2 linked regions of the Nothobranchius furzeri genome follow. The protein of the gene in region 1 binds, or shares a complex with, the protein of each later gene. Links are inferred from orthologs where the notes say so. Each region holds a gene or a part of one and is shown on either strand. Other genes may lie near its edges. The genes, in order: AP-1 complex subunit beta-1 and ldlrap1b.

Region 1 (3,918 bases):
TTTCATCTTTACTTTTAAAAAGTGTTTACTGTTCGCTTCTGGTTGTTTCAGGGCCTTTGTTGACGCTGCCATTCAGAAAAAGAGGAGGCAGAAAGTCATCGACCAGCTGGGAGGATTTAGTCAGCAGGGAGATGTTTGCAATGTTCTGGGTAAACATACTCACACAGTATTTGCATCAGGGTTTAAAAGACTTTCACTTCCTGTTTGCTGCTGAGTGTATCCTTGTTTGTGTGAGCTGTGAGTTCTGTGTGTGTGGTTAAGTGAAAAAGTTTACTGTAATCAGGCTCTGAATGTTCCACCATTTATTATTTTTACCATGAAATGATTTTATGATAGCGGGAGTGAAAATTAGCATAATGCCACCAGTTAGCCTCTGTCAGCGAGCGTCAGGGCAGCTGTGGCTACATCGTAGCTCATCACCATCAGTGTGTAAATGTGTGTGTGAATGGATGAATGATACACTGTAGTGTACAGCGCTTTGGAGTCCTTACTCTGAGAGGCGCTATACAATTATGGGTCATTTATCATTTAGATTCTCGTTATTTCAAACCACTGGAAGATGGATTTGTTAGGACACTCACAAAATGTTATGGACTGTATACCAAGCCTTGCATTGCAGCTTGATTGCCCAAAGTAGACAAAAATGTAGAAAGAACAGGGAATTTTTCTGCAGGGTTAATTTAATTTGTATTTTCTGTTTGTTTGTTTTATTTCCCTTCAGAGGCCTTTCAAAGAGCATACAAAAAGCTACAAGAGGCCAGAGAAACGTTCCCACAAAAAGCCATCAACTCTACTTCCCAACTCGAGCTGGAATTTTCTGCATAAAAACCAAAAACACACTAAAACTGACATTTCAAGATGCATTTAGGATCCTGCACAAGCTTCCAAAACTGAAAAGTTTGTCTCAAGTCATCTTCTGTTCTTCTCAGACTGTAACTGACATTTTATTGACAAATGTTATTAACTTAAAAAATCATCAGAAACGATTTATTACACCAACATTAGGAGATGGAGCATAACACTTGTCTAATAAATGTACTATAATACCAGCAGTTTTTTTTTACAAAATTCAAGGTACTGTTTTCTTTTATTATTTATTTTACTGTTTATTTTTCTTATCTGAAATAAAGGTTAACTAAATAAAAATTAAATATGCAATGAAGTGGTATATTTTCCCCATTTTTAAAACAAAACAAATGGACTGAAACCCGCATTATCTGACTGCGGGTTGTCCTCCAACGTAGCATTCGTTTTAGCTCCAAAGGGAAGTAGTCCAATTTTCCATGACTGTAAACGCACCATTCTCCATCTTCCTCCAACCAGGGAAAGGACCGTTCAGCGATTTTCCCTCTCAGTTTCACACACGACCAGGTACTTAAGTACACATATTTCACGTTAATTTTGCAATCGTGTAATTTTTTGATGTGTAAATTGTGTGTCTTAGTCAATGTATGGCTGCTTTAGCGTATCTCTAGTAGGCATGTAGCGATGGGAACTGGGCCGCTGGTCGCTTTTCTCTTTTTTGTGTCAGATTTAGCCTAATGCTCAAACGAAAACTGAAATCGGTTTTCTGAAACTAAAACCCTGGTGGTTATTTAGATTCACTGTTTGGGGCTGTTTACTGCGGAATGAGTGTTGATGCTTTTTTTCGTACATAGCCGTTAAGCTAACCAATGTTAGCTAAGGGGAATTATGTATTAAGTTGATGTTTCTGGATTAAAAGTGTCACGCCCTGAAACAGTGAACTGTCTCGACTAGTGCCTGTGGGATTATCGTAAATATTTAATAGAGGTGTACAGTTTGAGGCAAATAGTTGCTTAAATGTCTCTGAAGCCATAACGTATATTTGGCAACGGGCTCCTCATTGAAACGCTCGCGAGCCACCAGCGTCATAAACAAACAGAACAAGGTCAAATCTGATGTCGGATCACTTATGTGTCCTGCAGATTTTTACAAAAAGCCTGCAAATTTTTTCAAAAAGTCTAACAGATCTTATGGAAACACACGCCTAAGGACTTTTTTAATGATTGTGTGAATGTTTTGTATTTGTTGAGGCAAAAATAAAATAATTCAAATGCAGCTCATGTGAATCATTTCTTCCTGCAGCAAGGATTTACTTACAAATCTAGCTGCTGTGAATTGTTGTAGCCCTTTTAAATGAGGTTAGAAATAAACGCCAAGGATGATAACATTTAGAGGCCAACCAATATATCGGCCGATATTTTCTATCTTTTCTATGTAGGACGAAATTATTTTTAAAAGCAGATTTAAGAAAAAATTAAATAAATCGGGCACCTGTATGACCAACTGCCACTACTACTAGACTGAAGAAAGGACCCAACACACCGTTTTTTAAAGAGCAAGTCACCCCCAAATCAATTTTTTATGTTTTCTGATATAAATGTGAGTCATCATGCTGCAGACACGTGTAGTCGAAAGTTTAGCGCTTTAGTGCATTTTAGTTACAATTATAACTTTCGGCCTATAACTGTCAGTGTTGTGCCGTTGTCAGGTAAAAACTCTGCACTGCATTTGAATTTAAATCTGCCATCACTATTGGCTAAGAGGTACCCTAAAATGTTAGCTGGTACCATATGATGTTACAATGTTGTTGTGAGCCTGTGTGTGTGTATTTGTTAGCGGCTCCACCCTCGGTCTGCTAGGCAACTGCATTTGTTGCATATTTCAAACAGGAAGTGGGAGTGGAGTAACGCCGGGGACACACCGGCCGCGGAAGCGCCGAGAAGCGAATCGCTCACGAAATTCGGCCGCTGCTCGCCGCTCCTCAGTTCAGATCAGACGCGCTCCAGTCGAGGCGCGCCTCGGCTCAGCTGTAGTTTTTCTTTTAAACACTTGGTGTCCTCCATTTCCTCTCTGCCTTTTCTCAGCTCTTTTCCTCTACGTTTGAGTGTGTGTGTGTGTGTGTGAACCTATGGTATGAGTTGTTTCTGTCTGTTGAATCTCTTGGAACCCGCTCCAATTCTGCAGCTGTATCCTAGCAGTTTCTTCCGAAATGGGTTCGTAAATAACCATGTTTTTCGGGGGTCGTACAGCTCCTTGTGTTTCTCAACTTCCATAATTAATTTAAAGTCATCCATCTTAACTGCTTGCCTCAGACTTTCTGCCTCTCTGTCCTGTTTGCTCCGGTGAAAAGACACCCAAAACCACACCCCCTTCACGTGCTCACACACGCACACAAGTTCAATGTGTGTGTATGTCTGTGTGTGTTCGTGTGGTTTTTCTGCAGTGTCTGATTACGAACACATTTGACTATTGCGGAATTTTATTTTGAAATGCTTTATTTTGTTAACTTTACCGGCCTGCCTCTTATGTCTAGGTTTGACTTCCTGCCAGAATTGACGCGATTCACTCGCGGCTTGCGAAAAAAATAGAGCCGACGCCGAAATGATCGCTGCACGGCGTGGGCTGGAGCGCCGGCGCGCGCCGGCCCGAGGCGATTCGCGGCGCTTCAGCGGCTCATGTGGTCTATAGAATAGTTTAACAAGGGCGCCGAATGAAGGCGGTCCCATTTTTGCGGCGCTTCCGCGGCCGGTGTGTCCCCGGCGTAATACTCTGGTAGGGGGTGACCTGTTCTTTAATGTTTTGAGTTTGTTTTGTATTTGAAGTTGAATAAAAATAGATTTATTGACCTATTTAATTTATATTGCACATAGTGAGTGTTCAGTTGTCTTTCACAATAAATGTGCTGCTAAAACACGTATATATCGGCCTTAATAATTGGCTTTAAATGTCGGCGATCAGCAACAAAATTCTTTAAAAATATGCATCGGCCTTAAAAAAACCATATCGGTCGGTCTCTCATAACATTTGTACATTAAACCAATCTTTTCTTTACAGACTAAACTCATAATGCCAGATTCCTTTATTTTTGTTTGCCCTGATCCCCTTAGTAAAGCT
Region 2 (3,918 bases), on another chromosome or scaffold:
CAAGTCAAGGTGTGATTTGTTTAAATAATTTAAAAACAGCCGTTTAGAAGGAATGCACCTGTCTGAGCACAAAGGGGTAGTTAGTGCAACACTAATGCTGTAATCAACCACCATTTATCCAGCCTCTGATTAAAGATGGCTGTGATGTTGGCTAATTCATCCTCAGGGGAGTGTTAGGCTCCTGAACTCCCGTCTCCAAGCTTCTCATCTGGGATCCTTTACGAGCCATTCTCCTGAGTGCTTTATAATGATGTAATAGTCTCAGTCTGACACATGGGGATGCCATTTGGTTTCATTCTAAATCTCATTACTAAATATGAGTGAGGGTGGACATGTTTTAGTTTCTTAACCATTAAATTTTAATTTCTAATTACAAATAAAAAAAGTCCTCATGTTTTATGGTAAGGGAAGTTGAGCTTTGTTGAGCTTTGCCCTCCCGTGTTTGTAATGGTTAACAATTATGATCTAATTGGAAAATGTATGATATCGGGGGAGATTCTTACAGGCCGAGGCCATCTGCTCTGTTAGAGAAGCACAATAGTGAGAAAACTACAATTATTATTTCAACATTTCTATTTACAAGTTTTTCAATAATTACAACAGATTTTCAGTTTGAAAATACAACTATTTAAAAAAGTGTTTTATCTAATTTATTTATTATGACAACCTGAAAATATTTGTTCATACAAATCAGTAATTATTAATGCTTTGGCTCCGCCCTCAGCAGGGGGGTCCAAGCTTGCTGTCAAGTTGGCGCTAGCCCCCTCCTAGAATCACCCCTGCGTACATCTGTTTTAAATGTAATCAGATTACAGTTTTTAATTGTTCCCTCGTCTTGGCATTATTTCACATTTGTGAAAATTAGCTAATAAACAGATATTTTCATTCTATTCTTGAAAAATTATTTAATCAATTTGCACCAAACAGTGAATTATAATTATTAGTGGAATAAGCTCTTCAATACCCAGTGATTTTAATATATTTGATTGAGAGATTTTACTACAACAAATCCATTTATTGCAGTGGTTGGTTGTCTGACTACATGCCACAGTGATGTGACCCAGTCTGCCCGGCCCGACTCGTTAATCCACTTGCTGAGGTGAGACGAGTCCGTGACGTGTCTTCGCGCGTCAGTGGGAGCTCAGGAAACAAACGGAAGACTTCTCAATAAAAGCGAGCAGCAGCGTTATAGATTGAGCGGAACAGCTGGAAGGGCAGTCACGCCGCGCGTCGGAGCAGCGCCTTCTTGCCGCTCGCGCGACCTGTCGCCCTGCCGCGCCGCTCGCGTGACACCACAACGGGCGTAACGCACGCGCCATCCGGCCAATTTACATACATAACACCGCCCAGAGGACGAGCATGATAATCCACCATCGACTGAAACCGAGCTGAGCGCTGAGGAGAAGAAAAGAGACGATTTAAAAAGTTTTCTCGGGAGAGAGAGGGCTGTTTTAAACCGAGAGAAGGGAGAGAGTCGACGGAGACGGACGCGCGCTCGTCGGGCTCTTCGCCCCACTTCTGTTTTTGGGTTTACGGACATGGACGCTTTGAAATCCGCCGGGAGGGCAATTATACGGAGCCCCAGTATCGCGACGCAGTCCTGGGGTTCGGGCAAACATAAAAGTAAGTGCTGCTCACCGTGCGTGTTGGTGTTAGCTGGTGCTAATTGTGTTGCTAACCGGTGTTTTGTCCTAGCCCTGCTTTATAACTTATCCATGCACGCTCGGTACAGGTGTCGGCTACACTCGTGTGTGTGTCAGGTTACCTTTCTGCCCCAGAACTTGACACTTAATCTGAATATGTGGGAAAAGTGTAGCACCAGAGCTCGCGTGCGCGAGACTAGCGAAGTTTGGGGAGCTGTGCGTAAACCCCAGATCAGTTTGTTTGGGTTTGAAATGTGAAACAGGCACTCTGCTGGGGAGCTGCAGTCCTCTGATCCAGACCAGAGAGAAATGTGTGGTCGCCTCCGTGGCAAAGCCTGCGCAGTCCTAGCAACGCACTGTTGCTAGGCAATACATAATGTGCGAGAAACAGGAGGCTGCATGAAGGTGGGGTTGCACATTCTTTCAGGATTACAGATTCCTGACTTGTTATGAGGTCAAATGATGGGTTTGGTTAATCCATGACAGGTGTGTGTTTTTTTACGTGTCAGCCAAACGGAAGAGCAGTGTGGGCTTTTAAATGCAAGTTCACAAAGCCTGGGGCTTCCCCATCTTTCCATGCCTTCTAAAGGCAGCCGAGGAGCTGGCAGCAGGATGCCACGCTGATGCTTTGTTTTGGTCCCCTCTTTGCCTCCCCTGGGGAGTGATGCTTAATCAGCAGCATCCTTCTGGTCAAAAATTGATCGATCATCCAGCCCTGACCCTCTGTTATCTGTGGCCAAGCATCCCACCCTGCCTCTGCCTTTGACATTCAACCACACAGAAGCCAGTCCTGTAAACCATTCTGCACACATGTCAAACATTAATCAGAAGTTCCCGTTTTTCTTTCGCCTGTTATCAAGGAGCTCTTCGTCTTCCACTTTTCTTCGCTGTTGCAATCTAATTGCAGACTTAACAGAGTCTGGGTGTTGTGAATAAACTTGTCTTGGCCTGCTGTGTCATTAGGAATGTCCCCCCAAGTGGACCTTTTCCTTTGCATGTGGCACAATTGATGTATTTTTGCAATGGCAGTTTTGCAATTTCTCTCCTTTTCTTCCACTGTCACTGTTGATTTGTTATACGATTATTTATTATTGTTGATCAGTCATGTCTGTATTATTTATTGCTGCATGTCGATATTAAATTCAATCTCATTAGTTTTGCTTTTGGGCCTAATTCCTGCATGCTTTCTGTTTAATCCCACCCTGCTGGGTTGATGTAATGACACCCTGCCTGGTCACAACATCCAGCTAGTTTCCATTTTTCACAGATAGAAATTGTTTAAAACATCAGCAGTATTCTTGGGTATGAAAGGCCTATTTTTCTTTTTAAAATGAAATGCGTGGGAGGCAGAAAACTCCCTCGTGGCTTGTCAGGGAGCTGTCCTTTGTGACGTTGCCAACGTGAAAGACGGATAAACAGAAATCTAATACTTGCGCGCACGTGTGTGTGTGTGTGTGTGTGTGTGTGTGTGTGTGTTAATGATGCTGCCTCTAGAGATCACAGTTGTGTGACTCATTAGGATTTTTCACATTATTCAGAAGCTGGTGAGTGCTCAGTCGGTTTTGGCTTTAGATTTCTAATGTCACACAAATTCTACCAAATTATGCAGTCTGGCAACTAGGGATGTGAATCTGAAAACGACTCACGATTTGATTCGATTCCGATTCTTGGGGTGTCGATTCGATTCAGAATTGATTCTCGATTCTCAATTTAAATCGATTCACAATCAGTATTAACAGAGTGTCACCTTCAGGATTAACTATGTTGTACAAGTTAGTTAAAGCTATGGGACATTTTTATTTGACTTTAAAGGGACTTTATGGAGTTTTGAATTTTTATGCTCGCGATTGTCCCCTCAGGCCAAAAGAGTAACGGCAGCTTCAATAGTAGGCTCGTGCACGAGGCGCGCATGCTGTACGTGCACACTCCTTAATGAAAATAACAGCTGAGACAGTCCCGTGTGTGTGTGTGTGTGTGTGTGTGGGTGGGTGGGTGGGTGGCCCGGAGGACAGGAGAACGCGCAGCTAATGAATTAAATAATTTGGTTCTGTACCTTTCTCTTCAGCACAGCTGACAAAGGTTTAAGATGGGTCAGTCCTCCTGCATGCTCAGATCATTCCCTTACCTTGCTTGAAAAATTGTTCCAAAATGAAAGTTGAACCCACATATTTATCTGTGAATTCAATGCCGTTCGGCGAGTTTCAAATAAAAATTTGGGCATCTTAGTGTAAAAAAAAAATACCATTAATGTAAAAAAAATAAATTCTAAATAATT

The links.
Region 2: the proteins of AP-1 complex subunit beta-1 (region 1) and ldlrap1b are in contact, whole or in part, in a crystal structure (PDB 2G30), measured with the Homo sapiens proteins. The link is inferred for Nothobranchius furzeri from reciprocal best matches to the Homo sapiens genes AP2B1 and LDLRAP1. Residues at the interface, in NP_001273.1 of Homo sapiens: Arg834, Gln835, Phe837, Leu838, Trp841, Glu849, Gln851, Ile876, Ala877, Arg879, Val881, Glu882, Gln884, Met886, Tyr888, Glu902, Arg904, Ser915; in NP_056442.2 of Homo sapiens: Asp253, Leu255, Asp256, Ala258, Phe259, Ser260, Leu262, Ala263, Gln264, Arg266, Thr267.

Annotation. Positions count from the first base shown.
Region 1 is NC_091750.1:66,891,906-66,895,823, forward strand, and holds the start of AP-1 complex subunit beta-1, read left to right. Parts: upstream 1-1,240; 5' UTR 1,241-1,371; intron 1,372-3,918. Other genes in the region: tectonic-like complex member MKS1, read left to right, coding at 52-149, 722-825. UniProt on the Homo sapiens protein: Component of the adaptor protein complex 2 (AP-2). Adaptor protein complexes function in protein transport via transport vesicles in different membrane traffic pathways.
Region 2 is NC_091758.1:35,471,013-35,474,930, reverse strand, and holds the start of ldlrap1b (low density lipoprotein receptor adapter protein 1b), read left to right. Parts: upstream 1-1,317; 5' UTR 1,318-1,538; coding exon 1,539-1,623; intron 1,624-3,918. UniProt on the Homo sapiens protein: Adapter protein (clathrin-associated sorting protein (CLASP)) required for efficient endocytosis of the LDL receptor (LDLR) in polarized cells such as hepatocytes and lymphocytes, but not in non-polarized cells (fibroblasts).